3 linked regions of the Astyanax mexicanus genome follow. The protein of the gene in region 3 interacts with the protein of the main gene of each other region in a biochemical or structural test. Links are inferred from orthologs where the notes say so. Each region holds a gene or a part of one and is shown on either strand. Other genes may lie near its edges. The genes, in order: cnot1, ago2 and trinucleotide repeat-containing gene 6A protein.

Region 1 (10,524 bases), on a different chromosome or scaffold from region 3:
TAAGCTAAAAAACATCCAGTTTTGTGAGATGACCCTTAAAAAAAACAATAAATAAAAAAAAAAACAACAAAAAAATAAACATCTGGGGCAAGATTTACTGCAATTGAAAGTACACTTAAATTTAGGTCCCCAGGAGCTTCAAGTGAACTGAAGGAAAGACACGTTCCTCACATTAGCACAGTGGTGGCGTGTTCAGTACCTCTGCACAGTGTTTTGAGAAAGGCGTCGATCTGCTCCTGCCCGACTCCACTGGAACCCTTTTGCCCAAACAGGAGGTGTGAGAGCAGCAGGTGCAGAGCCTCTATGGCAATGTCCTGGAAGCCACCTTCCTGGCTCCCTCCGAGGTCCGCGTCCACGTATGAGCGCAGAAGGTCTGGCAGCTTCTGTTTCACAAACTGAGCAGCTGCCAGAGTACAGAGAGACAGTTAAAACAAGCTTATGATACCTTCGACCACAATATTAGGGGACTTACCACAAATGTAACACAACGTTTTTGTTTTTTTTTAACATACACTGAAACTGCATCAGATAAGAACGCTTACCGAATCCTCGGAGGTCTGAGTTACTGGAGTTCAGAAGAGCAAGGCCAAAAATTACCTAGTCCAAAAGAGAATGGGTTAATTGACAAGTTCACAAACTAACCAATAATGAAAGTTCAGTATTATAGTGCTTCCTAGTTTTTTACTTACCTCCTGAACCTTGCTTAGCTTGAGAACTTTACTCAGTTGAGGAAACAAGTGCGGTGATGGCTTCAAACTCTGTCAGACAGACGGATGGAAGAGGAGAGAAATTGGGGGAAGTAGGAAGAAAAAGAAAGACAGAAAACAGAAAAAAGAAACAGAAAAAATAAGATTAGGAACTAAATAAAAGTTGACCTTGTGTTTATTTGACATAGCTTTCAAGGCAAACTACACAAACCTTCTGATAGTGCAGAGGATTGTCAATGGCGTAGCAGAGAGTCGAAATAAAATTTGGCTTTGTGATAAGTGACACACACTCCTGGATCAGAAACTGTGTCTAACAGAAGAAAATCGATTAAAGCACAAAAAGCAATACATTTTCTTTAAATGATACACAAGAATCAGTAAAGAGTGAAACAGTCAATAATAACTGTGCTATAATGCATACATTACAGCCTACTGTGGACAAATATGTAACATACAGAAGCACGGAAAGTTAAAATAAAAGATTATACTACAGCTGGTCCTGAGAATGTCAGGAAAATTGTACAAGTTAAATAACTTAAAATATATAAAAATAGATATTTTCAGGCCTAAAGTTTCTTGCAACTCTACAGCATGTTAGCATAAAGGTTTGCAGTATTAATAAGAATAGCAATCTTAGTGTACAATTTCAAATTCCCAAATTAAAGTACATGACATTAAACTGCAAACAATTCAACAAATATTCCCCTAAAGCTTCAATAGTACATATTTTAATTCAGTAAACAATAGAAAATAGAAAATAATAGAAAATAATGCTATTACTACAATATGGGTGTTTTTAATCACTATATTACAATGTTACGACATATACAATACAATTTAATACAACATGTTATAGCCCTACTTAGCAGTAAATCCATGAGCACTGAGTGGAAAGACATTCCTGTACCAATCAAACCAGAAATGAAAGAATAAACATTAAAAAAAAAAATCTAACTAGCAAATAAATAAAAAAGGTACCTGGTGGAAATCTTTCCCACTGCTTTTACCATCGCCACTGAAATCCACATGGGAAAAGAGACAGCGTAATAGATGCCTGTCTGCCTCAGGGCCGTGACGATTCACAATCTGAGATATAGGGAGAGTGAGAGTGTGTTCCATGCCCATCAAGTAAGTGTGACCTTCACAGCCCTAACACTTATTACATCTGTGAATGACATACTGCACTGACTGCGATAAAGTAATCCACAACTGAGATTATTTGGCTTTAACATGTCCCTAAAGCCTTATAGACAAAAAATAAATAAATAAATAAAAAAAAATAAAAAACACAATGGCTGTCTGTAAGATATTGTGATGCTAACAAAACATTAACATTACATGTTTTTGTAAAATATCTTAAAAGATTAAAGCATAAACAGTATAAATTAATGTAGAAAACATGGCTCCATTATTGATCTTCATAATCAACATCAACAGCTTAACAGAAACTCACATGCTGTATTTCTTGCTGGCTGGCTCTGTAGTTTTTCTTAGTTAAATTGTCCACCAGGTAGCTGATTTGAGACAAAGCCAGCGAGAGCGAGTCAAGATTCATTGCTGGTTGGGGCGGAAGCAGGCGGCCGAGCACGGCGCAAAATCACCATTATTCCCCTTTAGTCACTTCGGTGATAGGTTACTTCTGCTCCCCCCCCTCCCCAGGTGTGTAATTGTCCGTGTGTCCAACAAGTGGCTTCTGTCGGTGGATCCTGATTCAAAATACGGTCCCTTACTGCAACTTCAAGAATGACATCTACAAATGAAGAAAAAGAAAGAAATATTAACATCTAGAAAGGGAATGACAGACCTGCAACACGGAAAGAAAGTTTAAAAAATCTTACAAATAATTTTAAAATGGTCCATTTTATAGGTGAACAGCAACTAGATCAAATTACTGAGATACAAAATTGATAAATGTATTTTACGATTATTAAAACAGTAAAATTCCATTAGAATACAGGTGGTAACGTGCTACAAATATCACGCTAATGTCTTTTTTTTGTTTTGCATATTCTTTAACAATGACGATGTCCACAATATGATTAGAAAAGGCAAATTTCCTGACAATTTTTTTTTTACTAGCTTTGTGACTGATCATGCCAGGCCTATAGGTTTCAAAGTATGCATGTACAAAAATCTGAAGTTTATATGCTGACATACTTGGAAGACCTACTCCCACAGCAATTTTACAAGTTAACCTGCAACACTATACGTTTTTGTAGTTTGTAGTTCTGTAGTTACTGTGAGAAGTCAAACTGCTTGTAAACACGTATGCATGTAAACTACTTAATTCACCGCTGCTTAACCTGCCATGGTAAAAAACAGCAATAAAACCTAGTTTCAGTTCTTTGGTTTCTACTAAAACCACAACTTTGGCAGCAGCAGAAGTATAGAGAAAGAGAAACTTAAGGGTGCATGCAGCTGCATACCCGGAAGCCATGGCAATTCTACAGTTAGGTATTGGTCTTTAGATTAGATTGGTCTAGAAAGTACAATTTCAAAAGGAGATAAAGCTACAGTCAACAAGCAACTGTGTAAACACAACTTACTTAATCAGTTATTTTACTTACAATAGAGCGGTTCGTGCGTACAAACACACTCTGGGACACACAGATGCGAGTAGTCATTTACAGTACAAACCAAAACACGGTAAACTCGAACCATTGCTTGTCAACAAGGTGTCTAAACCCTCTTAGCTGTATAGGCAAGGCTATATGTAATAATAACATTATCGAGTTCATTTGGCAAGAAGAGCCCATTAAACATTAATTTCCATTGTTACAAATCTTATATGTCACAACAAATATCTAAATATTTCCTAATTAAAAGTCTGTGGCTGTTTAAAAATAAATGTTTATTTTATCAGTGTTAAGAAATTGTCATACGAATCAAATGTTCAATGATTTATTTTTGGCACAATATTTGTGAAAGACCTACTGTATGAAATTTAGAAGCAAGACCTGCTTTACTATTTACCTCTACATCAATAAAATGTATAAATCCTTTGTCAAAAATCTGTCCAGGAATCAATGAGGCCACTGCTATTCCATTCCTAAGACATCCTTAATGTTTTAGTTACCACTTTATTCCACCTCAAAAACAAGAAATGACTAAAAGGCACCCAATTTCGACAATTTTGGAGAATTTATTGAGAAAGGAGACAACCCAGGTGAATATAGTGTTAAACTGATATGTTAAACCATATCAGTAGTCAATTCATTCATTCCCCAGACTGACTAGCAGATAGCTAAACCTAGCTTGCTTGGTTCCTGCAATCTTAATTTAGTTTATCCACATTTAAAAGATTGTAAAACCACGAGTAAGGAAGTAAATAAACTAAATCTTAGCTTTACAAAATAGTTAGCCATAAGAGGAAAATTCTACTGCAGACTGAAATAAACAGCAGCCAGCTAGCTAGCTTGCAGGCTAACATGCTAAGGTAACAGCTGCATCATCTCCTATAAGGCTAGCTAACGTAGCTACTTAAATATGATGCGTCTAACAATGGTGAATACGCCAAATAAACCTGATTTATTCCGATAATTACAATAACAACATATTTTAAAACCTGCTGCCTGCACATTTTAGTGCTTTTTCCTGCTATTTCAACCGTCAGAACTGACTGGTGGAAGCTAGCTACCATTTTAGCTAGCTAAAATAGAAGATGCATTATCCTGTAATAACCATATACTAAGCGTCCAGTGCTTTCTCAAACACAATCTTCTGGAATCAACCGTTTATTTATTTGTTTAGCCAGATGGTGCTTACAGTCAACCCCAAGAAGTAAATGGTAGCAGCTAGTTAGCAAGTTAACCCAACATGCTAAAGCAGCAGCTGCCTCGTCTTATAATAAATTTAGATTTGTTTTTTTTAACGGCACACGAGTGTTTTTTTACAAAATAAATCTTCTGGAGTCCAGCGTGTCTACATATTTGTGCTTTCCCTGCCCTAATACAACGTTTTCAACTTTAAGAAGAGCTTAGTGGCTGGTCTAGTGGTGAGTAGGAAAACACCAATTTGCGCAAAGTAACGTTACAGTGAATTACTACAATCCACTGATTTAAGCTAGCTAGCTAACTTACCACTTATCAAATAGCTATAGGTTAGCTAATTTGTATGTTTAGCTAGACTAGCACAGCTAAATGTTTATTCATAAAGTGCCTGTCTAGATGATCTAACCTATTTAGCTAGCTAGTTATCTAACCTACTGCCTAACCTGGTTAAAGTTCACGTCAGCCAGAAGACCCTTCTCAACTTCAGAAAAACCTTTGTTTCCAAACTGAGCTAGCCAACCAGCTCTGTTCACCTGCTAAAAAAGCGTCAGAGAACTACAGCTCAAGGCCTCAGTTTCACATCTGTTTATTTTTAATATCCCCGACGAATAATCCATCATATTAAGAGTTTAACAGCTAGCTAATCTCGTTATGTTAGCTAGCCACCTTCTATGGTTATCCTCTGGAGAAACGGAAAACATATCGGTCCACTGCAGACAGGGCCTTCAGCTAGTTAGCTAACCCAGCTAACTAAGCTAGCTAACGCTAAGCTAATGCTGGAGCCTTGAACCATTAAGAGACCATTAGTGCTAGCTAGCAAGCTTGAGAGCATAACATTACTAGCTAGCTTAGCTAGTTAACACACATGCCATGAATGCTGGCTATAGTTTCGCTTGTGTTTTGTTTTTGTAAATTATACGATTTAAAAAAATATTTCAATCACAATTTGAGCAGTTTATTTCGTGTGTAAATGAGTTAAATTATGTTAAAAAGCTCAGAAGTAACTAGATGACTGTAAACCTAAGCTTGTGTTCTGGGCCTCAGCTAGCTTAGCTATCGAAGCTAAGCTAGCTAAATACAGTAAAACTTGAGTAACGTGAATAATGTTATCTAGCTAGTAATTATAATTTTATTATATCTATAAAAAATATCTGATATTTATAAGTTGTGTTCACATTTAAACAGAGTGAAAGACAGCTAACTAAAAGGAGTGATCTGTAGTTAAGTGATAAACACGCTAGAGTTGGTAGGTATTAGCTAGCTAACCGCTAGCCTAGTTCCGTGTATCTGCTGCAGTGCTCTCAGACCGCGATGTTGCGTGAATCCGCCCCCGCCTGCCTCGCTCCGCTGAGCGGCTGTAGAGAAGCAGGCTAGCCGGGCTGACTGCGCGTTGACGGTAGATTAGCACTCGGCTAACACAGCAGCGCCGCACGATAACAAGACTAATCTAACGTCCGCGAGCGGAACCCAAAACGAGAGCAGAGCTGAAACGCGTACGTTACCTCCGTTCACACAAACTACGCGCCGCTGATCGTGTGTATTTTCTCTCTCTTACGTTTCTCGGCTCGGTCTGCTCTGGTGAAAGGTCGCTTTCCTCCCCGGTGCTGTTCGCTTTTTCGAAAATAAAATGGCGACTATCATAGCTCGCGCGCACCCAGCGGCGCTGCTCTTCTTATTAGCGACGTCCTGACTCGCGCACGAATCGGCTCGTTTGAACCGATCTTCGTGAATCAAATACGTAGAGCTGATTCAAAAGCTAACTGTGTTCGGAATGGTTCACTTATTAACACATTCACTATTCACTATTCACTAGATACAATATACAGCTCTGAAAAAATTAAGAGACCACTTACAAATGATGAGTTTCTTTAATTTTACAAAATTGAAAATCTCTGGAATATAATCAAGAGAAAGATGGATGATCACAAGCCATCAAACCAAGCTGAACTGCTTGAATTTTTCCAGGAGTACCAGGAGTAAAGCAGCATAAAGTTATCCAAAAGCAGTGTGTAAGACTGGTGGAGGAGAACATGATGTCAAGCTGCATTAAACTGTGATTAAAAATCACTAAATATTGATTTCTGAACTCTTAAAACTTTATAGGTATGAACTTGTTTTATTTGCATTAATTAAGGTCTAAAAGCTCTGCATCTTTGTTGTTATTTCAGCCATTTTTCCCAAATTCTTAATTGATATGTTGTAATTTAGAGCACTTATTTGCAGAAAATGAGTGCTCTATTTAATGAGTGCTGTATTTCAGAATGCTTGGGGTGTAGTGAAACATGATGTACATGGACGAGTACAAACGTTTGTCGAATAGTCCTGTTCCATTTACCCCAAGCATTCTGAAATACAGCACTTGCTTCAACTTACAATGCTAGCAATAGGGACATAGAATTACCTATGCAAAGAAATCTATATTTTTACACCATTAAGCTCAAAGTCAAAATTTTGACTTGTACTGTATAATAGCATTATGATATAACAATGTAATTACACCCGTTAAAGAGCAGTGCACTTAAAATTAATATAAATATCAGATATTGTGACTGGAATATAAAAAAGTCAAAATATTCTAAATAAATAAAAACTTAATAAAACCAATAAATTAAGTCAATATTTGTGTTAATGAGATCTCCTCCCTAGCTAAATAAATACAATGCCTAATTTGAAGTCACATAAAATTATTAAAGTGAAAATGAAATTGTTGAGACAGGGTCATCTGTGGGGCAGTGGAACTGTTCTCTGGAATAATGGTGCTCATATTCTATTATTATTGTAATATTATTCTTATTACAATTTTTTTGGAATAAGTTTGGGGGTTTGGAGATGGGGTGTGATGGTCAACTTACATTCCTTCATTGAATCATATTTAAAGACAAATTATAAATATGCAGAGTGTTTAATTTAGAGGATAAAGACAGGCTAATAATTTAAAAATAAATGATAATGGTTTTGTTTATTAAGATACAATAACAAAATAACTGGAACGCAGGGGAAAAAACAAAATGAGAAAAAAAGGAAATGTGTGATGATACCATATAGGTTATTACCACATACATATATAACATAAAATATATTTTACATTTTAGATCAATTGATAAGTAAAAATAATCAATAGGTATTGATTTGAGAATCAGTGACTCACTGAATTGAACATTTGATTCATTGAATCAGACAGTTGGAAAGAATCGGTTTAAATCGAACCGAATCACTAGTTCGTATGGTCGTGCCCGATGCGCGCAGCACAACAACCTATCAGATGACGAAAAAATATGACAAACAATTCTGTCAGTTATAGCATTTTATTAAAATATGCATAACTTTTTCAAACAATATTTGCACATAAAAACAGCATAATCATCTATATAGCTGTAACTTGTGTGGGTAAAGTAGGTCATTATTATTATAGAACATTATGAATATTTCTTAAGGTAAAAAAAAATATGGGAATTTATGGGATTATTTGTCCTTTGGTACAAGCAGCATTTGCAATACAGGGAGGCTTTTCACCTTTAATTTAAAACTTTGTAATGCAGTATATCTTAATGCACTTAAAAATAAATTATGAAATATTTTTAGTAGTAGTACAAATTTATACTTAGACCTGAGTGCAAATAATAATAATACACACTCCTAAACACACCTGGGTGCAAAAATCCTGTGCCAAATAATATTCTTTCATCAAACATGGTCTTCAGCAACAGTCCAAATGTCTGAAAACAAAAAAAAAACTCATGCCCATAAAAAAGGGAAGGCTCCAGGACTTTCAGTTTGCAGTTTCTACAGTGTGCATGCAGAAGTTAAGGGGAACTGTGGAAATCTGGAAGCACAAGAACACTGAGAAAGGAGTTTATATGCTGGTAATATCAACAAAACCACCAACTGAGTGACAAGAACCTGCATAGAAGTTTATTTGCACGAAGAGGGTGGAGCACTGTTCTATTGTGCAGTGTTGTTTGTTCAAACATAATCGTATTGAAGAGTCGTAAAAAAATACTAAGCCTGTGACCTCCAAGTCAGTGCTTAAAGTATGTATACCACACAACACAGGTTCATTAGGAAAATGGTAGAAGGCTGTGAAGCATGGGGGTGGATACTTCAAGTTAAGGTTTAGGTTTAGCAAAACTGGCAATATTGCACAGTTAGAGAGAAGAACATTTTTTCTACAGAATACCAGCACGTCCTGGATGCAAATTGTCCCAGAACATGCTATTATTACACAGGTAGATAAACAATCTGTGCAGCAAGATTACTTAATAATACCTTTATAAAGAACAGTTGAAGTTCCCAAATGGCTTTATTTTAGTATCATTTAATATAGCTAAAAAAATAGCAAGCACACAGGATCACAATAAGTTCTCTGTTTTTGCAAGATAACTTGTCAAGAACGATCTTCCCCCCAAAAGTCATTGTTCACAGTTTTAGGCTACGTTTACATTACCAGGCTGAAGTGATTTAAATCAAATTGTTTGCACAATGTGGCTCAGATCAGATTTTTTTCACGGCTGTGTGAACGTATAAATTCCGATTTTTTCAAATCAGATTCATGCGTCTTTTTGCTTTTACACGTTAGCATTAGCGCTACGTGCTTCTCTCTCGTACCCACACATCTCTTGGTGCAGCTGTGCAGCTATAGCTAATAAAACAGCAAAAGCAAACCGCCTGGCCTTTTCTCACCTCCTGGACCTGAGCATGAACTTCAGAGCAGCTGTTTACTCTCCACTCCAGCAAAAGATGCTCCACATATGAGCTGCTAACTCATTATTTAATGTGGCTTGTAATGTGAACGTAGCCTTAAACTAGTTTTTTTTTTTGTCTAGTTAGGAAAATACACATGCTTATAAACAAATAAAAACTAATCTGCATTAGCCATTTCCTCTGGATAAAAACACACATTTCACATTAGTCCTTGCATGAGCACAGCTCTCAGTGCAGAGTGTGCTAAGAAAGGCTTTCGTAAAAGCAAATCCACACTGACCAGAAGGATTTGTTCACTCATAAATCTTTTAATATGTACAGGCCGCATTGTACAGCTGAAATCTCCTATTCAAAAGATCCAATGCAATTTGTAACAGTGTGACGAGAAATATCTGGCACAGAATAAGGTAAAGAAAAAACAAACATTCATAATTCAGAGCATCAAATCTAGGGAAGTACACACTATGACCAACAACACTTCCATTTGGTGTAAAACTGACAGCAAGAAAGGAAAAAAAAAAAAAAAAAAAAGAGAACAGAGAATGCCAAATAAATACTGTACAAGTTAAAGTACTGCATGATACAAGCCCTGCCTGCAGGCCAGTAACATTGTTATGACATGTTATGAAAGTTTGCAGAGATGTTTACCAATGTGGAGCAAAGTAGTGTGTGTGTGTGTGTGTATGTGTGTGTGTGTTACAGCTACATAATTATGTAGGCAGAGCTTGTTTAGTGCAGGATTTATGTAGAAGTTGGCTGATACACACCCCTTAATCAAACAAAACATCATCCCAAAATACATATGCATGATATGCACTTTAGCCTGCATATACATATATGTCAGACAATATAGATATAGCACCATAATAAAATCAGGGTGAGGGTGAGGGTGGAGGATGTTATGAAGGACATGAAGTTAAAGCCCCAGGCAGGTTTTGATGCAACTGGAATTCGACACCATTCTGGACAACCCTGCGAGTCCTGGGTTTTATATCTGAGGTGGTTGAGGCTGCTCTTCAGGATGCAGTCAAACAGGTTCAGGACTATTATAGGAAGGGGTGTTGAGACAAAGACAAGCACTCTGCAGTGGTGGGGATGGGGTGGAGAAACTCTTTCCTTTGTTTAGAAGATAACACCAAAGCTGTATGGAGATAAATTAGTGCAAGCACATTAAACCTCACCAGGCAAACTTCATACAAACACACCAAACAAAATCGTCAGAACGTCAAATCTAACCCTGAACCTGTTGAACAGTCTTCCAAATTAAATAATGTTTGTTTTCCTGCAGTTCCAAGTCCATATAAATAACAGAATATCAAAAGTTTTTTTTTTTTTTTTAAACAGTC
Region 2 (10,141 bases), on a different chromosome or scaffold from region 3:
TGCGGAGGAGAAGAGACGCGTTAGAACAAGGAATAGGCCCGAATAACATATTATAATACCTGAAACTACAGAAACATTAACATTTGTAACATAGGCTGTAATAACAGCAAAATATGATGTATGTTATTTAGAATCTGTACTTTTTATTAGATTAATAATAATAATAAAAATGAATAGAATAATAACGGTACATTATAAATGCTCATACTTTTACACTCTAATTAATAACAGTACATTGTATAATACTTAAACTGTTATATTCTGATATTAAGATACAAGTGTAATACCATATATACATCTAAAACTGAATAACAATAACATAATATTGTATATTCTTAAATATTCGTATACAGTGCTAAAATATATAGCAATGTTTTGTAGTATTCTGTATGAATTATATAATAATAATAATAATAATAATAATAATAATAATAATAATAATAATAATAATAATAATAATAATAATAATAATTGTTTCTGTTAGGTAACACATACAAACATATCTGTTTGCACTATATAAATAAGGCTATATAAGCAAAGATCCCGCTAGTCTATATTATACATTAATATTTTATAAATTAATAACTACTGCTATTTAATGTAGTTTTATGCACCAGTAATAGTTAAATACACAGTAATAATCTAATAATTACGGCTTAAAAGGGACGGACATAACTACCAGGCAACTAAAATAGCAACAAGAACAATGTAATTATAATGATAAACTATTTTAATGAAAACAGATTTAATAATGGATAATACAAATTATAAGAGGAATAAGAATAATGTGTAGATCTGTGTTGTGAGATGTAGTAGAGGAGTATAGAGGAAGTTTCCGTGCCTGTGTTTGGGTGAGGCCCAGAGAAGCGGCCAGCTCGGCTCTCTCGGGCAGCGCCAGATACTGGGTGTTCTGGAAGCGCCTCTGCAGCGCGGCGAGCTGGAAACTGGAGTAAATGGTCCGGGGCTTCCGCACTTTCTTCGGTTTACCGTTCACCATCCTCACCTCCGGCTCCACCGACTCTTTTTCTACCGCACCAAACACAGAGAGGAGGAATATGAGTGATGAAGAGAATAAAGAAAAATACTATTCTTTAACTCTAACTGAGTAGAACCCAACTGAACCGCACAGAGTAAATAAGGAGAGGGTTTAGGCAACTCGATAAACGCGCACTGCGTAAACACTTTCCATTCGGGTCATATAGTAAAGTTACATAGATTAAATTAATGTACATATACCTGTATACGTGTCTACACTTAAAAAGTCAGTTTATTCGATGTTATTTACCTACGTTATATGTAATCTTAATCTTAATGCCCGACCATTTAAATTTTACCCGTTTCTTATTTATTTTTTATTTAACAAAAAAAAAAAAGAATCTAACAAAACCTAGCAACACACAGCGTACAAAGCTTTATTTATTAAAATGCTAAAATATATAGATACAAAAATGAACGTATTTTATAAGGAAATAATCATTAGAACCAAAATAAAAGTGCTCTAGTTTAATAATGATAAAAACGCGAAGGTTAAATAAGTTAAATATAATACAGACACAAGTGATAGCAGCATTAATAATAATAATAATAATAATAATAATAATAATAATAATAATAATAATAATAATAATAATAATAATAGTTACCTTGCGGGCTGGGCTGTGACTGCACTCTGCTATATGTTCCGTACTGATGGTAAGCTGAAGTGCCGTAAGAGCCGTAGTCAGGGTAAGATTTGGCAGAGTAATTTCCCGCGGATCCACTGACTCCGTGGTACTGGTACGGGTAGCTGTTGAGAGGTTTCCCATAAGAGCCCGAGTTTGGAGAACAGTAGCCGTGGTGCGCTCCGGCCGGGCTGTAGTAGCCCGCGTCCGTGGCGGTGGACTCGGGCAAGGTGGGAGACTCCTGAGGCGGGTGGTGCATGGCGGAGAGCTGGAACGCGTTCTGGAAATCTGTAGCTTTCGTACCGGGAATCCTCCTGTCGAATACTCCAGTCATGGTTTGTTTGAGTGAATATATATATATGTGTGTGTGTATGTGTGTGTGCAGTAGGCAGCGGCTGTAGCTCTGTGCAGGTCTCTGAAGTTTACACTCGCATGGTGTGTGCTCGCTCTGCTCCTGAAGACTGCTGGAAGCCCTGCAGCAAACACTTGGTTAAATCGTGAAGGGCGCCGTTACGCACTGCAGGGAGGATCCAGCTCCATTGGCCACGACGCGCACTACAGCTACTCCCTAACGCACTGAGCAAAACACTGCGGCCTGACGGGAGCAACTATACAGCGGATTTATAAACAGTCAATGGGCTAGAGACGACATTTTCTTTCTTTTTAACGTTAAAAAAAGGATTAACAGAGCCATGCTGCGTGTAAAGTACAAACCAAACGCTTTTCAAATAAGTCTTAGCATACATATAAATGAATCTACATGTTTCTACCCTTTCGTTCAGTCCTACACTACACAAACACATTTTTTTTAAAGCAGTAAAACATTTACAGGCTCAATCACATTATTTTACGTTTACATCATATAAGCCTTAATATAGTTTAAATCAAAAGCCCGGATTTGCCTCTTTATTGTTACACACGTTGCCCTTTTAGTTAATGAATCCACATCGTTTTAAATTTCTCAGGGCGCTTCATTACGGATTACAAGCTAATAGAAAATGATTTACATGTAAAAAGAAAAATAAATACAGTCACGTTGTTAAATCAGACGCCAAGTAAGATAGTATTGATTTACTAACGGTAAAGTGGCGCCACCGCGTGGTGGAGATATAATAGTCAAAGTCAAAGTGGTTTTTATTGTCATTTCAGCTATATACAGAGTACACAGTGAAACGAAACAACGTTCCTCCAGGGACCATGGTGCACATAAACACAGTGTAGACAGAACAATAGTGCAACAGTACAAAAGTGCAGACAGACAATACAACACAATACAGACAAAGAATAATAAATAACAAGACAGTGTGCAAATTATGCAGTGTGCAAAAAGTGTGCAAAAAAGACCAGTGAGGTAGTAATTACCTCTATTACACAGTGTGCAATAGAGTCCAGTGAGGTAGTAGGGTTTTTAGTGCTTTCCATTTTCTGGGGTAAGTGGGGTAAGAGTGTGTGTGCATGTACAGAAAAACCATCAGTTCAGTCTCTGCAGTTGAGGAGTCTGATGGCTTGGGGGTAGAAGCTGTTGCAGAATCTGGTCGTGCTGGACCGGATGCTGCGGTACCTCCTTCCCGAAGGCAGGAGGGAGAACAGTTCGTGTGAGGGATGAGTGGGGACATTCACAATGCTGGTTGCTTTGCGGATGCTGCGGGTGGTGTAAATGATAATTTAAATAATAATAATCTGTACTTTTAAATATTTTATGTATAATAATAATAATAATAATAATAATAATAATAATAATAATTATTATTATTATTATTATTATTGTTATTATTATAACAATAATAATATTAATAATAATAAAAAAAATACATAAATACTTTCTGCACACAGACTTCTAAATTTGAAATGACTTTAGTAAGATTTTTAACTTTTTAACAGAGTGTAAGGAGTTACCAGTTTTTTTACTGTTACTTTCTTACTTTACTTTTTAATGTGAATGATTTCAGATATTAGTAAAAAAAAATAGTAAATTTATTAAAATAAGAAAAACTACTTAATAGTAAATGCAAATAAAATATAATTTTTGAAAGAAGTGTTTTGTGTTTTTGTGTTTTTATAAATTTCTGATTAAACAATTAGATAAATAACAAAATAATTTTGACACATGCTTTCACATGCTGCTCCCTGGTGGACTATCCATGCATTACATGCACCAGACAAATACATATTCTAAGTTTAAATTTTAATTACTTGAATAATATGTTTAACATTTAAATCAAAGTATATGGACAATTGTTTGTTCTATCATGGTTTAGATTATTAAAAAAATAATTAAAAAAAATATAAATGTATTATTAAAGTTAAAATCAGCTATGCAGGGTGTAATTTGTTTATTTTATTTAATAATTGGTAAGTTTGTTTTAAACGTGGTTAGATGGTTCAAACTATAATGAGTTAAAAGCTTACAAAACTGTTCTGCTTGCAGCCTAATTTAATTGTTGCAGAGCCTCTTTATGGAGAGCTTACCCACTTCCTGTACAAAACCTTTACAGCAAAAAAATGAGCGCACACCACTAGAGGGAGCCTGAGAGGGAGTCCTTAATAAATGAGAGTAAATGAAGCTAAACGGTTAAACTTAAATTAAAAATAATAATGAACTACTTGTCCATGTTATTAATTTACTTTCAGAAAGTATGTGGAAGTATTTCGCAAAAAAAAAAAAAAAAAACAATTTTTCCATTTTTCTGTTTTTGGACAAAAGAGACACTAGCATTACTATACTGTGTGCTGACTGGTTGGTAAGCTGATTCTGGAGAGTGAAAATACAACCAGAGCACGTTTAAAGGGTTTATAACTGGAGTTTAAAAACTTTAAAAAAAAATGTGCTGAAACATTCTATGTATGTCTGTGTTGATGAATAAATGAATTCATTTTTCAGTGTAAACATGTTCAAACATTTACAAACTATGATTTTGCTCAATTGCTCTATAGAAACCCATTTGCCAGACCTCATCTCCTATTAGAAACCATCATGATTACTCAGATCACAAACTGCTGGTCTCTAGTTGTTCATTAAATTCTCTAGTTGTTCATTAAAACCCCCTAACTCTGGAATAATCTTCCCAAAAATGTTTGGGACACCTTCTCCATCTTTAAGTCTAGACTAAAAACGTACTTGATTAGTTTAGCTTTTGGTAATTAATGTTTCCCTTTAGATAAGATTGCATATTTTGGCTTTCATGATGTCTTGACCACTGCATGCGATCACTCAGGTTTGTGGACTGTGGGGTGGGTGGATGCCATTGTTTCAGGGTGCCTTTGTGTCTATGTTACCTTCTGGCTCTCTCCCTTTATTCATGCTGTTATACTCAGATCTGACACAGCCATTAGCCACACTCTGATAATGTTGCATATTGTCTTTTCTCCATAAATTCCATCTTTCTGCCTTCCTCCGAGTTACTGACTGCCCACCTATCCGGCCTGATACCGACGGATGTTCAACTCTCAGGGTCTCCTGTCACCTGTCCGGCCAGACTGGTGGAAGTCCCTGGAAGTCAGGCTTCCCTGTCACTCACCACAGTAGTAGCTCACTCCCCACTACCAAGAACATCAAAGTTTACATGAACTCTAACTAGTAATTTTCTAACTGCCTTCACTGTGATAACCTCAAAATACAAGTGCTATTTAATAAATTTTATTAGATTTGAGATGATCTTGGTCAGGTTTGTCCAATGGTGGCCCAATAAAAACTGAAGATGTTCTCAATTAAGTGGGCATTATCGCTGATTCGAATCCCGGTCATGCAGCTTGCCATCAGCTGCCGAAAGCTGATAATAAAAAAAGAAGATTTTACTTTTCTGCAATCAGAAGAGTGGGGTCTGAGACAGAGTTAGCAACATACAATGTTATAAACTATGATTTTGCTCAATTGCTCCATATGAACCCATTAATTTAGCGCTCAGTCAGGAGCGCCCACTGGTGGGCTGATAAACAGTGAAGAGGTTGTTGGTTAGGATATTTCAGTGGGTATTCTCCTCTTTAGAGAGTCTCTGAAGGCTCGGAAGTGACGCACAGCTTCGCGCAAGTGTTTACTTGTTTTTATTAATTTTCGGTCGCTTTGCATTTTTATAAACGTGCTATTTTAATATTTAAAACATAATTTTTTACTCTCTATATTTTATTAGCTCTTAGTAAGCGCTGTGGTGTAGTTTTTGCGCGGGTTTTCAGAACACCGGAGCGGCGGGCAGGCGGATGGTGCGGTTGTGGTGGTGGTGCTGCTGGTGATGGGGGAGGAGGAGGGACGGAGGCAGCGGGACCCGCGGAGCTACTTCAGCCCAGCACTCGCCTAAAACCGCGTTTTATCCTCCGAAATCTGAGATTAAACAGCCGTTTTGCACCGCAGTCTAACTATCCCGTTCTCGTATGCACTTCACCGCGGTCGGGAAGCGAAAGTGAGCGCGGTGCGAGCGGCGAGGTCTGTTTAAAAGCACAAGAACTCGCCAAAATGTATCCGAGCGGAGCAGCTGGGGGTGAGTATCGTAAGCTAGCTTAACTAAAGCTACTGAATTAAAGCTAAGCCTACCCACATAGCTAGCGTTAGCTAACTACAGGCTGTAGATTTGTATCTGCTGTCTGAAAACACCGCCTATCTGTGGCCTGGTATTTAGAAGATTTAGATTATAAACATTTGTAATAGATTAAATTATTAATCTGTAGTGTTTGAGAGCTCCTGGCTGATAAATCCGCCTGTTTAGTGAGCTAGGCCGTGCTATGTTATTGTTAGCTAGACGGCTAATGCTAAGCTAGGCTAGGCTAGCTCGCTGTCTGCGCTTGTGACTGGTTAGCTAACGAGGCTGGCAAGTGGTGGTGTTAGCTTAGCTAAGATAGCTAAGTAAGCTAAGCTAACAAACAAAGTTTCTAGCTAACCTAGCTAGATTGAGATAGCGTTACATAATTTTACATAGCTACGCCGACTACACAAACTGTAGTTTGTCGTTTGTACTAATTAAGTTAGCTTAGCTAAGTTATCTTATTACGTTATCTGTAGTTTAAACTAGTTAACCCTAGCTAAGATAGCTGTAGTTAGTTAACTAACTATAGTTTCAGTGGTCAGTTAAAGCTAGCTTAGTGATTTACTAATCTAGTTAAATAGGTCTATCACAGGTTATTTCTCTCTTAGTCTAATTAGGTTACGTTTTATTTTGCTGTGCTTTTCTGCCTAATGTGATCTGTACAGCTAACTTACCTAGGAAGTAAGTTATGTAGTACACCAATCAGTAAACAGTGTTAGCAGATCACCTTGCTTTATATTAAAAGGAAAATATATATGTTAGAAACACTAAGTTAATTATATAAAAACCGTTTATGGCTTCTCGTTTGCACCAGTTAACTAGATATAATAATTAGGGTTAGGTTTAGCTAGCTTTGCTATGTGTCCTTTCCTCACTGTAACCTAGCTAACTACAGTTTCAATGGTCAGGTAAAGCTAGTTATATATTTCTTAATCTAATTTATTTTTACTGTGCATTTCTACCCCTGATGTGTAAAGCTAGTTAAGAAGTATTTAACTTAGTACACCAGTCGAGTACACCATTTTAATGCAGAGGTTCTGATGTTTTTAGGTGAAAGTTTTTGCCCCAAACTATTTCTGGGGGATTTTGTGAAACAATGATTCTCAATATTCTTCAAATATATGAGGGATTCTCTATTTAGATTTTAGATCTTTCAATTTAAAGTGATACACAAGCTATTTTTTCCTTTACCTTTAATTTCAAAATGTTTTAGTATGAAACATGGTTCAAATATAACGTCTTTTTTGGTCAGTTAAGGAAATGTCTATCTGCTAAGATTTCTTCTGGCAGCTTCTATATGTAAATATGTACAATCTTGATTATCCCACAGAAAATTAATTAAGAGCAAAAACAAGTCAATTATTTTAATTAACCTTCCAGCCCTACCCCAAATTAAAATACAAGTTTTCAGTAAATATTGTTTGGACAGTTAAAACAAGCTAGGTACTAGAATTTATTTTGAATCTTTTTCTACCAAAGGTAATCTGTAAGGAGAATTAACGCCAGACAGCTGATTCAGTGATCCCCATTAGGTAGCTGGTTAGCCTGGTCCAGCTGGTTGTAGTTTCACTAGTGTCTACAAATTGTTAATACAAGAATATATTTGTTTTTTTTCCCCATGTAAGAACAAGCCAACCTCAATTCTTGTCTCAACTGGTGCATATTGATTATGCTCACATTAGTTTTACTGTAAGTAGCAGGTCAACACAAAATTGAATTTGTTTGAGTTCTTCTAACATGTGAGCGTAGTTCAAAGGCCAATTATTTTTAGGACTAAACTTCTACATCTTATTAAGTCTGGTCTTAGACTTAACCTGAGTGTGAGAAACCCATTCAAAGTAACTACAAATATCTTCTTTGCCCTTGCATGTTGGGAACAGGGCCAGTGCTGTTGTGTAGGTGGGGTAGACAGCCAGGCTGTTAAGTCGCTGGTGTGGTCTTGTTGATAAAGGGGTGAGAGAGTCTGCAGCACAGATCAGGATGGGACCTGCTCTTTCCTATCTTTGAAACGTGACACATTTTTGGTTTTGATAAGCTTGGTTGAGGCATTTTTGAGAATCTAGCAGCTAAAGCACATCATTGTGACAAACAAAAGTCATTTATAGTCTTGTGCAAATGGCTAGACTTAATACATACTCATTTGTAAATCATTTGAATCACTAGAAGTTAGACTCTATAGACTTATTCGACTCTCTGATAAGGGGATCATGACATTGTCACACAAACTTATTTTGTAGAAATGTCCACAAGCCTGTTTAATGTCTTGTGTAATTGACTCCACAGTATCTCAAGTTTGTCTGGGGGGCTGTGTAAATAAAAAATATAAAAATGTAATTTTGTTTTTGGTAGTTGCTGAGATGTGTGAGGGCCTTACCTCTTCGCGATCAGTAGATTCTGGTAAGCAACCATGACTCAAAGGTTCATTGTGCAGGCTAATTTCAGTTTTTTATTCAGTTTAATCAAATGTATTTTTCTTTGCTGCATAAAGAAAATGTTCATACCTGTGGCATAAGCGAATTGTGACGCCCCACTCAATTGTGGGGAATTGTGCTATAATCCAAATATAAGTTATTTAATATTGAGCATCAGACAATGACAAGGTGGGCCTGATATATCTGTATGTTTTAAAATTTTGGAACAACACAGCACAGTTTAGGCAACGCATCACAGGCCATCAGTTAGTGTCACAGTAGAATCTGTTTTAGTGTTTAGAATATTTTGAAATGTTCCTACTTGTTTAGTATGAAAATTTGGCACTATAATAATTAATCTTGTAGAAAACCTTGCAGAATAACACTCTAAATATGTATGTTGTTTTTAGCCCATGTATTGTTTGCTTTAGGTAAAAAATATTTTATTTATATGAAAGCAAAGGGAGAATTTAATGTTTTTGTTTGTTTGCTGTTTGTTTTAGTAAATACTGTTAATTATTTAGTAACTTGCAGAAGAATAACTAGTGATCTAAAACCCAAAAGAACGTTCTGATTAAAGTTTATCTGCAGTTCTTTGGTTTTGAATGCTCCTTCCAACAAACAGTGTAATGTGGAGTTTTTTTTCATCGTATTATTTTTGGACATTGTCAAATAGGTATGATATAAACAGTGAGATCTGAAAGCAACACTGTGGTTGAGGTTTAAACAAAACACACAAACTATTAGATCTTAATCTTTTGCAGGTAACCTTTTAATTTTAAAGTAAAACTGTCAATACAGTTGCAAAACAAAGTATTACCAATTTGTTTATGTATTTTTCGCACATAATGCAAAATAGTTATTTTTAAACTTAAAATGTATTTTTTTTACTTGCAGTACTCTCAGAAAATTTTGATAAAAACATTTCTTTTCTGACAGGTTTGAATATTTATATAATCTATATTGATTTGGGGTGTTATTTTTCTGTCAGTCCAACAGCCCTATTACTCAGTTAACAGAATGTTCAAGTTGAAAAAGCCATTCTTTGCTTATCACCAAATATTAGCTTCTAGTCTTTTAGAGTGACTATAATTCCTTTTTACAATCTAATTTTGTTAAAGCTAGATTTGAAGAAGGCACAACTCCTCCAGTTTCATATACTTTTGTGTTTGTCCCAACAGCTCCTCCATCTCCTCCATCACACGAGTATGTGTTCAAACCACCTCAGAGGCCAGACTTTGGCACCATGGGCAGGACAATCAAATTGCAGGCCAACTTCTTTGAGATGGAAATCCCCAAGCTGGAGATGTACCATTATGATATTGACATCAAACCAGAGAAATGCCCACGGAGGGTCAACCGGTAACACTCACATTTATGTCTCATGCCTAAGGATTAAACCGTAGTGACAAATCAATTTCAAACTAAATTCTGTACTGTTTGTTTGCAGTGAAATTGTTGAGCACATGGTCCAGCACTTTAAAACACAGATCTTTGGAGATCGAAAGCCTGTGTATGACGGGAGGAAAAACCTGTACACAGCAATGCCCTTACC
Region 3 (10,746 bases):
CACACACAGACACACACAGACACACACAGACACACACAGACACACACAGACACACACAGACACACACAGACACACACAGACACACACAGACACACACCTTACCGGTGTCACTTCTGTCAAGGTCTTTGGTGGCAACAGCATCCAATTCTGTGAATTAAAGAAAAACCCAATCATTAGTTATAAATCACAACAGAATAACCCATCAAGGCCTTTTATGTTTGGATACTCATGATGGAACACCTTCCGAATCATTTAATACAATTTAAGTACAGTAAAAGAATGTTTTTGTGAAAAAAAAAAGTATCAGTTCAATCAGTCAACATGCCCAGTGTTTGACAATAAGCTTTACGTTGATCAGCTAATGTTGATAACAATGGACATTATTTTATCTACTTAAAGCTACAGAAACAAATATATTAAGAATAGCATAGACCTCAGTCAGCTTATGAACCACTGTCTGTCACCAACCTTTACATGTATCATAATTAAATCAATACTGTGTTTTGGAAAATGAATTCAGTATTGCAAAGCAACATATTGAGAGACAATGTCAATATTTTGTTACGCATCACTGGTTATGTTTACATCAAAGCTTTCCTCCAATCTGAATGAATTCATTCTGATTCTAGAATCTGACTGAGATATTTATATGTACACTTTATTCTGACACAATAGTCTGAATAAACGATTGAGCTATAAGTCTGATTATTAACAGATTATTAGGCTGCATGTAGACATAGCCACTGTGGGTGTAACCTATATTAACTACGTCTGCACCTAACACAAAATAAACAAACATGGCACCCAACCTTTTCAGTTGTGTTCACACTCTTCAGTGTGTCTTTAAGCTAGAGCTCCACAGCATTTTGTTTAATATGGTTGATTTTAAAATATAAAGCATATTTTTAGTTGAAAGACAGTGTTCGCCACATTATAGAAAACCTACAAAGACACATTACCAAGTATGCCTAAGTGTTAATGTGGTATCTAGCCCCACCCTTGATCACCCAATCAGCAATTGGTCAATTAAACTGAAAGATACACAAAAATGACAAATACACAAAACAGTCCATTTCTACTGTATGAAGTCTGAGTGCATATACATTAGCGATACTATATATTACAACACTTTCCAAATCAACAAATGAAGGGGATAAGGCCAGAAATTTTTTTTTACCACACATTTAGCTTTAATATGTTTTCATATTTTAAACCGAGGGATCTATTTTGGGCTTTTATTGTAACTTATCAGAAAACCAAAGATTGTCTGACAAACAGAGGAAACAAGTTGTTAGATGGAAAGTGTAGAACTTTGTTATGACAAGAAGAAATGCTGCAGAACCTGTTCTGACTATTCTACAGCGACCTAATTTAATTTTACTGAAATTAATCCTGTACGGTTAAACCTGCTGTGAAGCATAAATCTTACATAATATATAAAATATATTAAACAGTACATCTCAGTATTCTACTAAAAAGAGAATGCACTAGAAGTCTCAGAAAAACAAAAATTATGACAGCAGATTATATTAACTTTGCTTAATCTGAAAAGCATGCCATGATTAAATATATAAACACTGGTGACATTTAGTATCATTACACATTATTGATTATGTCCCATACTGAAGCAGATGTGATGCTAGTTTACTTAAAATGTGTATCATATTAATTATACTGAACATTGTTGCTGAACCTTTTTTCACAATATTGTGGATCTATTACTGTACAACCAAATATTGTATTGCACAGTGTAATAAGCATTGTTTAAAGCAGCAGTCCTGAAGATTTTACATTGTTTACTTTATTTTATTTTTAAAATGTCTAAGCAGGGGAGATAGCAAAATATAATAAATTGCATCAATCTGCTTTTGCTACCATTTTGGCAATGCCAAATGCATTTATTTTAAAAACAGTGTGTCTGTTAGGTCCCGGGACATTTTTCTGGCTACAAGTCTTAACTTAAGCAAATGCAGTGCTGCTAATAAGGATAATACAAGAGCTCATCATTAGAGAAAATTTATATAGATTAGAACTAAAGCAAGCTGGTGAAATAAAGGAGGGCAACAGACTCCTAACCAATCCAAATCACCAGATTCATCCACTCTGAAAAGGGAATGCACCACAATGCACACTTCAAAAGTACTTTTTAGTATGCAATTAGAAACACACAAAAACTTACAGGTCACATCTTATATATGTTTTATAATAACCACTGTACTATATATAGTTCACGTTCTTGATAGCAGAAATGAAATCCTACTACTGCATGTCAATAACAAGTGTATTGTAAAAAATACATACTGCCAACCTTATTATATTGTTCTTTGGTGGTGATTGTCTAGGATTGGACAGCACTAACAGGCACCAAAGTTAATCAATGGCAGACATGGACATCAGTAAGTGAAGTGTTTAGACAGTGTCTACATGGGAAATACCACATTGATTTTTGTAAAATCATAAAATGAACCAAATTAAACCCCTAAGGTGGTTCAACGCGATTTCATAACCAGGAGTAGGAGAGAAAATCTACAGCTACACCTCCCCCACCACAGACAAACCACGTTAAACCTGCTAACCGCTTACAGTCGCACACAACTACACAACACCCGGCTTCCATCACGAAATAACTGATTTTACTCCTGTTCTCGCAAAAAAAATAAAAAAGTATAATATTGTGGGATGACAGTTTGAATGCTGGAACCCTTACTGTTAGCTCTGCAGTGGACAAGCATTTATTTAAACGTTTTTTTTTAGCTCGCCTAGCTAAACAACACCGAATTATAATTACACATACTCACTCTCCTACATGAAGCTTACATTATACAAGATAGTACGCTTAACTCTACAACCAACACAAAATAGCTAAACTAAAACATGAGGAAAAACACTAAGGGCTTTAGCTCAGAAGCTAATATCAGCTAGCCTAGCTGCTAAGCTAACTACGTAGCTATTTAACATACGACTAAACCTAATAAGCCCACATACTATTTGCCTCAGTATCACATTTATTCGTTTATACTTAGTTAACTATTTATTTATCGGCATGCTTATGTAGATATCTGTGCTGTCAGCTACGTAACGCTAGCTAACCTGCATTAACCAAATAAAATGGCTTTCGGGGTCTGCGAAACTCTGATCTGATCTGTTGAAAACTGAGACCTAGGTTAGGTTAGTCCGCTAAGCTAGCTATTAAACAATGACCTGCTCTGTTTGTTTATAGCTCGTTAACTAGCTTGGAGCCATATATAATTTTATAGATTTAACATCGCTAAGCTAGGTTAGCGGTATAAACATAAGAATCTTTTAACACACTTCGCGTTCTTAAAAGCAAGTTATATAATAAACATATTTACAAAAGTAAGCTAATCAGTTAGCAAGGTTAACTAGTTAGTCAGTATTAAATTTAAGACCACAAAATACAGCCTTAGCAAACAAGATAACCACTTCGCATTTAGAGTCATTATTAAATAACTAGCTAAAGACTTATTTGTATCACTTATAAACTATTGTGTAGCTAGCTTAGATTTGTAACGAGGCAGAAACTCAAAAACATAACTGGCTAACGCTAGCTAGCTAAAGGTTAACGTTAGGTCTATTATTTATAACTCAAATCTTACGCCATTTTGTTCTGTAACATAAGCATGTAGTTGGACGAATATTTAAACTCAAATGTAAGAGCATTATCCAACGAATAATCAATTAGCTTTTTAATATCCAACAGCGTTAGAGGTTACAGCTGGGCTTCGCTTTTATAATTTTTCCGGTCCACCTTAAACGGAAAAGCAGCTCGCTAGCTTCATACGGGCACTTCAGACTATATAGTGTATCAGTGCCGCACCATTTAAGGTGGAACTGAACAACTCTAATAGGAGGTCCAACTTCGGCGTCGTAGTTCTGGCTTTTGAAGCCGCTTGACTAAGACGTTTCTGCAACACGCCGCCCGCAAAACACACATTACCCAAATGCACCGCGCTGTTTATGTTTATCACGGTTTTAACGGTCCCTGTAAACAACAGACGCCACCACGCGCAGCTCCACTCGAGCCCTTCGACTCCGCCGCGCGCTACATTACAGCAAACTGCGCCAAACAGCGAAAAGCGCGTTCAGCCTCACCTGTGTAGATTAAAGTGCGATGAGTAAAGTGTGGTGAAAGGCCTTCAGTGGATCAGCGATGAGTGTATTATTGATCTTTAAACCCGAGCTCGCGCTTAGCTCTCCTGCAGGATCACCGCTCCGCCCGCGCGGACATTTTCTCTCTCACTGCGCGCTCCCGCAGGAAGAGCTCAGCGGCGCGCGCGGCTGCCACTTCCGCTACGAAATGGCGCCACGGCGCAGAGCAGCAGGCGCATATCAGGAACATAAACAAACAAAATCCAGTTCAGCTCAATAATAACAGCTATACAACTAAAAAAACAAACAACTTAACACTAGTGATCTATCTACAGCGGTATGAAAAAGTTTGTGCACCTTCATTTTGATGATTTTCATTTTTAAATCATTGGTGTTCAGATCAGCAATTTCAGTTAAATTCATCATATAGGAGACAAACACAGTGATATTTAAGTTTATAGGATTTACAAAAAAAAATTACAATAATTATTTAAACAAAATAAGGCAGGTGCATACATTTGGGCACCCTTGTTGTTTTAGTGATTTGAATAGCTTTATCTCTAATAATTGAAACACTTGGCCAATTGCAAGTTTTTTTCCTTTTTGCATCTTCTCTGAAAAGTGGAAAAATGGGAGCCTCAAAACAACTCTTAAATGACCTGAAAACAAAGATTGTTCAACATCATGGTTTAGGGGAAGCATACAAAAAGCTCTGTCAGAGATTTCAGCTGTCAGTTACCCCTGTGAGGAACATAGTGAGGAAATGGAAGACCACACGCACAGTTCTAGTTAAGGCCTGAAGTGGCAGACCAAGAAACATCTCAGATAAGCAGAAGGATGTTGAGAATAGTCATAGTCAATCCACAGACCAGCTCCAGAGATTTCATTCTGTGGGGCAGTGTGATCAGTGCAGGTACTGGGAATCTTGTTAAAGTTGAGGGGTGCATTATTCCAGTCAATATCAGCAGATTATTAAGAACAATGTTCACAGATCAGGAACGAAGCTGAAGCTGTGCTGGGGCTGGATACTTCAACTTGACAACGACCCTAAACACTGCTCAAAGTCTATTAAAGCACTCATACAGAGGAACAAGTAGAACTTTTTGGATAACTCAAAGATCTTCAAATTGGATATTTACTGCACGGGTGATTATGTTTCAGCTGACAAGTTATTGAATTCTAACTAATGCAATGAGAAGCTTTTCATTTGTTAAACTCATTTTGTGTCCTTGAAAATATGTTTGTCTGTTTCAGAAGAGTCAAATTATCCGAAAATATTAAATTATGGTAATTGGCGATCACTTTAACTTTGTGGTACAAAAACAATACCAGAGATATGTTTAAAAGTGAAGGTAAGAGCATTTTCACAAGCACAATGTGAAGGGAATTCAAGGGATTGGGGCTAATCAGCTGTGTAGCTTTAAGATAACCACTTACCAGTGAGACTAATCGACAAAAACAACTTCAATTTGCTAAGGAGCATAAAGATTGGAATCTGGAGCGATGGAAGGAGAACATGTGCTTTGAGGAATCATGATTTACCCTGTTCTAGAGTGATGGGTGCATCAGGGTTCGGAAAGAGGTGGCTAAAGTAATGCACCCATCATAGTGCATGTCACAGAATCCAGACCTGAACCTTATTGAGAATTTTTGGGATGTGCCGGAGAAGACTTTGCACAGTGGTCAAAATCTCCCATCATCAATACCAGATCTTGGGGAAAACTATTGTTGTAACATTGCAGAGGTGTGTGGAAAAAATGCGATAGAGTACAGTATGCATACTGTAATTTAATCAAAGCTAAAGGAATCCATGTATTTATTTATCTCAGTCCATCTCTTTGCAAGCTGTTTGTTTTTTTTATTTATAGTGATCAAGCTACATTTCAGCAAATTACAAAAGCAGTATGAATGTTTCAAACAGCATATAGATAAATTCAACAGAGTAAATAAATGGCAGCTCTGAAACAAAATGTGCATTCATACTCTGACTGCTGTGTGAAGCATTTTAGACAAAATTCACTTTTAAAATGATTTCAGAAGCTGTGTATAGATACCCTCTTCTTTAAACAAAAGTTCCCTCAGGTATTTCTGCTCCCAGCTGCCTGTGATGCTGTATCTGTTTGCTTACATCCGTAAATGTGTTTAGCTCTGTGCAGCAGTCTGCTATGAATGCTGGCCAAATAGAAAGAGTTTAGCCGTCTGTGGACTGAGAAAACCCTAAACAAATCAGGAACAATGTAAACACTGTCCGGTCTGCCCGCAGGAATGTGCCTACGCTTTCACTTTGTACACAAAGCACCAGCACACGGGCAAAAACTGACCTGCAGCCTCCACTCTGGGGGCCTTTTAAAGACAGTCATTCTGCCTCATTGGACACTGCACAAACACACGCACACACAAATACACCATACAATTCAAGCTAATTACTGTCAAATATTTCCTTATTGGAAACCCATTTAATATAGTCATTTAGCCTAAACTATACAGCCTACAGTAGCCTACATATACAGCCTTAGCCATTGAACCTATCGCAGATTAGTCCCAGCAATTTGGCCTACAACATTTTATTCCTGTGTGATTAAAGCTCATACTGTAGCACATAAGAGTAGCAGAATAAAATGAACAAGAACATATTTATTTACCACAGAATGTGATAGAGGCGAGTTTTGAAAAGCCCATTCATTTTGCTATAGACAAATACAGCTTAGACACAAACCCCCAAGTGTTGGAAATTCCCTGGGAGCAGGTAAACTACATAGACCATAATTCTTTGCAGCAGGATAAGGCGGGGCTTAGAGGTTAAAATGGCACTGTCGGCCATTTTTTTATTTCTTTGTTTGGCATGGTCTGAGAATTTGAACCTCTTTTGGATTGTGGACTGAGCTTCCAATGGATGTGTGTTTGTGTAAGTTTTCTGATTTATTACTTAATTCATTTATGTTAACTTGTCCAATTTGATTGTGATTGGGTTTATTGTTTGCTCACTTGGTTTGTTGTTCCTTTTGTTGCACTATTTGTATTGTTTTACTGATCCTTGTATTTTGTTTATTTGTAGATAAAACCATCCATCCTGTGTATCCATCCTGTAGATACAACCATCCTGTATAATCTCTCCATTCTCCCTACATCATCTTCCTTCCTCCATCCATCCTTTCCTCAGCCATGCATTAACTGTCCATTCATGCACCTGCTCTGCCTCATTGTGAAATATGCTGTGACTCTGAGAATAAACTGCATCAGTTGAAGTCTGTTCATCCTCCTGTGTTTTAATGGACACACCATCACGCCAGCCACCCTTCCACTAAATGCAATCCAACTAAACTTTACATGGTGCCGAAACCCGGGATTGGCAGTTATGATGGATACAGATCAAGAGAACAGACGATCCACACGGCAGAGAAGGCCTCCAACCCATCTTCAGCAATATCACGTCGAGTCAGTGGGCTTTGGAAAGCCACAGGAACCCTGCACCACTAATCCAAGGCCTTTAGCTACCTATCTTAAACCTGGAGGTAGAGGGATCCCGAATCCTGCCTCAGCACAACAACAATCTGACCTCAAGGAACTACATACTAGGTATGCAGCCTGAAAGAGACAATAAAACTACTTGATCGTATGGGATCCCTGCATATTTGTAACAGGGACTCTGAATCAGTAAATGTTTCTGAAGATTGCATTAGCTCTGATGATGACTTTGATGTTGATTACTCCCAACCTGTACAAAGACCTCACAGTTGTGTAGAATTTCAATGTTCTATACCTGAAGAGAACAGAGCTAGAAGTTCATGTTCAGCCCCATCTAGATTAGCTTTACCCCATCCTGCCTCCCAATCTAGTTCTTTACAGCCTCAGCCTTTGATTGCACCCCAGTCTAGTGTTGTGCCTACTCATAATCCCCAGCCTAGGCCTCAGCCCCTTCAACCTTATCCTGCCTTTCCATCTAGTTCTGTACAGCCTCAGGTTTCCTCTCAGTCTGGTGTTTTTCCTCCTCATATCACTCAGTCTAGCTCCCAGTCCAGCTCCCAGCCTCCTCAGCCTTATCCTGCCTCCCCATCTAGTTATTTACAGTCTCAGCCCCAGGCCCAACTCTATTATCTGTGCATGCAAGATCTCAATCCTGCCCATACTGTAAAAGTCAGGAGCATAGCTTGACATACTGTTCCCAAGTTGGACTACTAAGCCCAAGTAATTTGAAGGAATGGATTAGAAGCAACGGATTATGTTGGCGATGTGCAAAACACCATCAAGCTGAGGAATGTAACCTTAAGAAACCCTGCCCAAAATGTCAGGGTCCACACCTTGGTGTTCTTCATGAAGCAAACAGGAAAACGGATGATTTAGTCCCTCAGCATTCGTCCTCCAAGGTACTCTACCTGAACCCATCAAGCTATTCCCCCAAAGTGCTTCTGAAGATGGTAAAGGTCATTCTGAGTTACAAAGGTCAGTCTTGCCATGCATATGCTCTTCTTGATGATGGTTCAGAACGAACATTGATCTTGTCACAAGCTGTAGACACATTACAACTTGAAGGAACTCCTGAAGTTTTGGAGCTTCACACCATTCGGCAAGGTATTGAACAAATACAAGGCTCATCTGTAACATTCAATATTGCAGCAGCAGATAATCCATCTGAGCAATATGTAATCAAGGGAGCGTTCACATCCTCAAATCTTGCTTTGACTGAGCATAGCTATCCAATGAGCTATTTCAAAAGGTACTACCAACATCTGGAAGATCTTCCCCTGCCAGATTTTGACAATGCCATGCCAATGCTACTCATCGGAGCAGACAACACTTACCTGATAACTGCCATAGAAGAGGTGAGGGCTGGACCCCCTGGAACCCCTGTGGCCATTCACACACGATTGGGATGGACCCTGCAAGGACCAACTTACCTACACAAGGTAAAAAGCAAAGTCCAATGTATGCATGTTTCCACATCTTCCTCTGCTGAACTCATGCACAATGTTGAGAAATTGTGGCAAGTTGATGTCCTGCCCTATCAAAATGAACGAGAGGTCACACGATGTAAACAGGACACACGAGCCCTGGCCATGCTGGAAGAGAAATCTGACAGTCAAAATGGATGGTGTTCAACGTCACTCAACTCCCCTTTTGTGGAAAGATGAAATGCCTACCATTAAATCTGGAAAGGAAGCTGTATTCTCATTGCTTCATAGCACAGAACGAAGACTGCAAAATGATCCATGTTTGACTGCGGTCTATGCCAAAGAGATCACAAGATTAAAAGAAGGTTATATTTCTTTAGTGTCCCCAGAACAAGAAGCTAAGTCCAATGCATCCTGGTACATTCCTCATCATTTAGTAGAACATAACCAAAAATATTGCATTGTTTTCAACTTTTCCTTCTCACAAAGATTACATTCTAAACTCCTTCCAGGACCTATCCTTGGTCCTACATTAATTGGTGTACTCCTCAGATTTCGTGAACATCCTGTTGCAATCAGTGGCGATATCAAGGCAATGTTCCACCAGATCAGACTCCTTCCTGAAGACAGACCATTCACTAGATTTCTCTGGTGTGAGCAGATGACTGAAGCTCCTTCAACCTACGAATGGCAAGTACTACCCTTTGGGACAACCTGCAGTCCTTGTTGTGCTGTTTATACACTCCAAACTCATGTCAGAAACCACCCTCAAGCAGACAAAGACATTGTAGACACAGTCTTGCAGTCTTTCTATGTAGACAATTGTTTGCAGTCCTTGAAAGATTCAAAACAAGCTAAAGAACTCATCGCAAGGATCAGAACAATCTTGGCTGAAGGTGGCTTTGACATCTGTCAGTGGGCTAGCAATGATTCAGCAGTGATTGATGAACTCCCACTGGAAGCTCTGGCAACCAGCACAATTCAACTTTTGAATCAAGATGCTAACAATCCACTTGAAGGAACGCTTGGATTAACCTGGGACTGCACTTCTGACACTCTCGGTTATAAGTACCGTCCAGTGAAATACCACACTTTAACAATGAGGAATGTGTACAAAGTACTGGGCACCCAATACGACCCATTAGGTTACCTAAGTCCTTTCATCACTCGAGCCAAAATCATTCTCCAAAAATTGTGGTCAAAAAAGAGAGAATGGGATGACCCTCTCCTACCAGATTCCTTGCAACAATCCTGGCAGGAATGGGAAGAACTACCAAGTCTGCATAACATTCATTTTCCTAGATGGTATGGAACAAGTGATCAAGCAAGTGAACTGCATGTCTTCTGTGATTCTTCAGAACAAGCATATGGTTCTGTAGCTTACATCAGAACAAAAAATGCTCAAGGTGACATCCACATATCCTTTCTCATGGCAAGATCCAGAGTTGCACCCAAGAAAATCATATCCATCCCATGACTAGAACTGTTAGCTGCTGTAACAGGGGTGCAATTGGTTAAACTCTTTCGAACCGAACTAACTCTGAAGATAGACCAAACCTTCTTTTGGTCTGACTCCACTGTAGTTTTAACATGGGTGAAATCAGAATCCTGTCGCTACAAACCTTTCCTAGCTAATCGTTTGACAGAGATCCTAGAACACACCTCCCCAGATGACTGGCATTATGTGGACTCAAAGAATAATCCTGCAGACTATATAACTAGAGGTCTTAACCTAACTTCCTTGGCA

Evidence for each region.
Region 1: the proteins of trinucleotide repeat-containing gene 6A protein (region 3) and cnot1 form a complex in vitro, tested with the Homo sapiens proteins (2 studies listed by BioGRID). The link is inferred for Astyanax mexicanus from reciprocal best matches to the Homo sapiens genes TNRC6A and CNOT1.
Region 2: the proteins of trinucleotide repeat-containing gene 6A protein (region 3) and ago2 form a complex in vitro, tested with the Homo sapiens proteins (2 studies listed by BioGRID). The link is inferred for Astyanax mexicanus from reciprocal best matches to the Homo sapiens genes TNRC6A and AGO2.

What each region holds. Positions count from the first base shown.
Region 1 is NC_064417.1:4,143,771-4,154,294, forward strand, and holds the start of cnot1 (CCR4-NOT transcription complex subunit 1), read right to left. Parts: upstream 6,168-10,524; 5' UTR 6,033-6,167; exon of another isoform or gene 5,980-6,032; intron 2,458-5,979; 5' UTR 2,263-2,457; coding exon 2,161-2,262; intron 1,794-2,160; coding exon 1,686-1,793; intron 1,018-1,685; coding exon 919-1,017; intron 759-918; coding exon 690-758; intron 598-689; coding exon 543-597; intron 404-542; coding exon 200-403; intron 1-199.
Region 2 is NC_064410.1:49,161,763-49,171,903, forward strand, and holds the start of ago2 (protein argonaute-2), read left to right. Parts: upstream 1-5,703; 5' UTR 5,704-6,108; coding exon 6,109-6,133; intron 6,134-8,524; coding exon 8,525-8,572; intron 8,573-9,767; coding exon 9,768-9,948; intron 9,949-10,036; coding exon 10,037-10,141. Other genes in the region: homeobox protein Dlx5a, read right to left, coding at 842-1,026, 1,644-1,995.
Region 3 is NC_064426.1:13,557,452-13,568,197, reverse strand, and holds the start of trinucleotide repeat-containing gene 6A protein, read right to left. Parts: upstream 4,276-10,746; 5' UTR 4,114-4,275; intron 148-4,113; 5' UTR 103-147; exon of another isoform or gene 98-102; intron 1-97.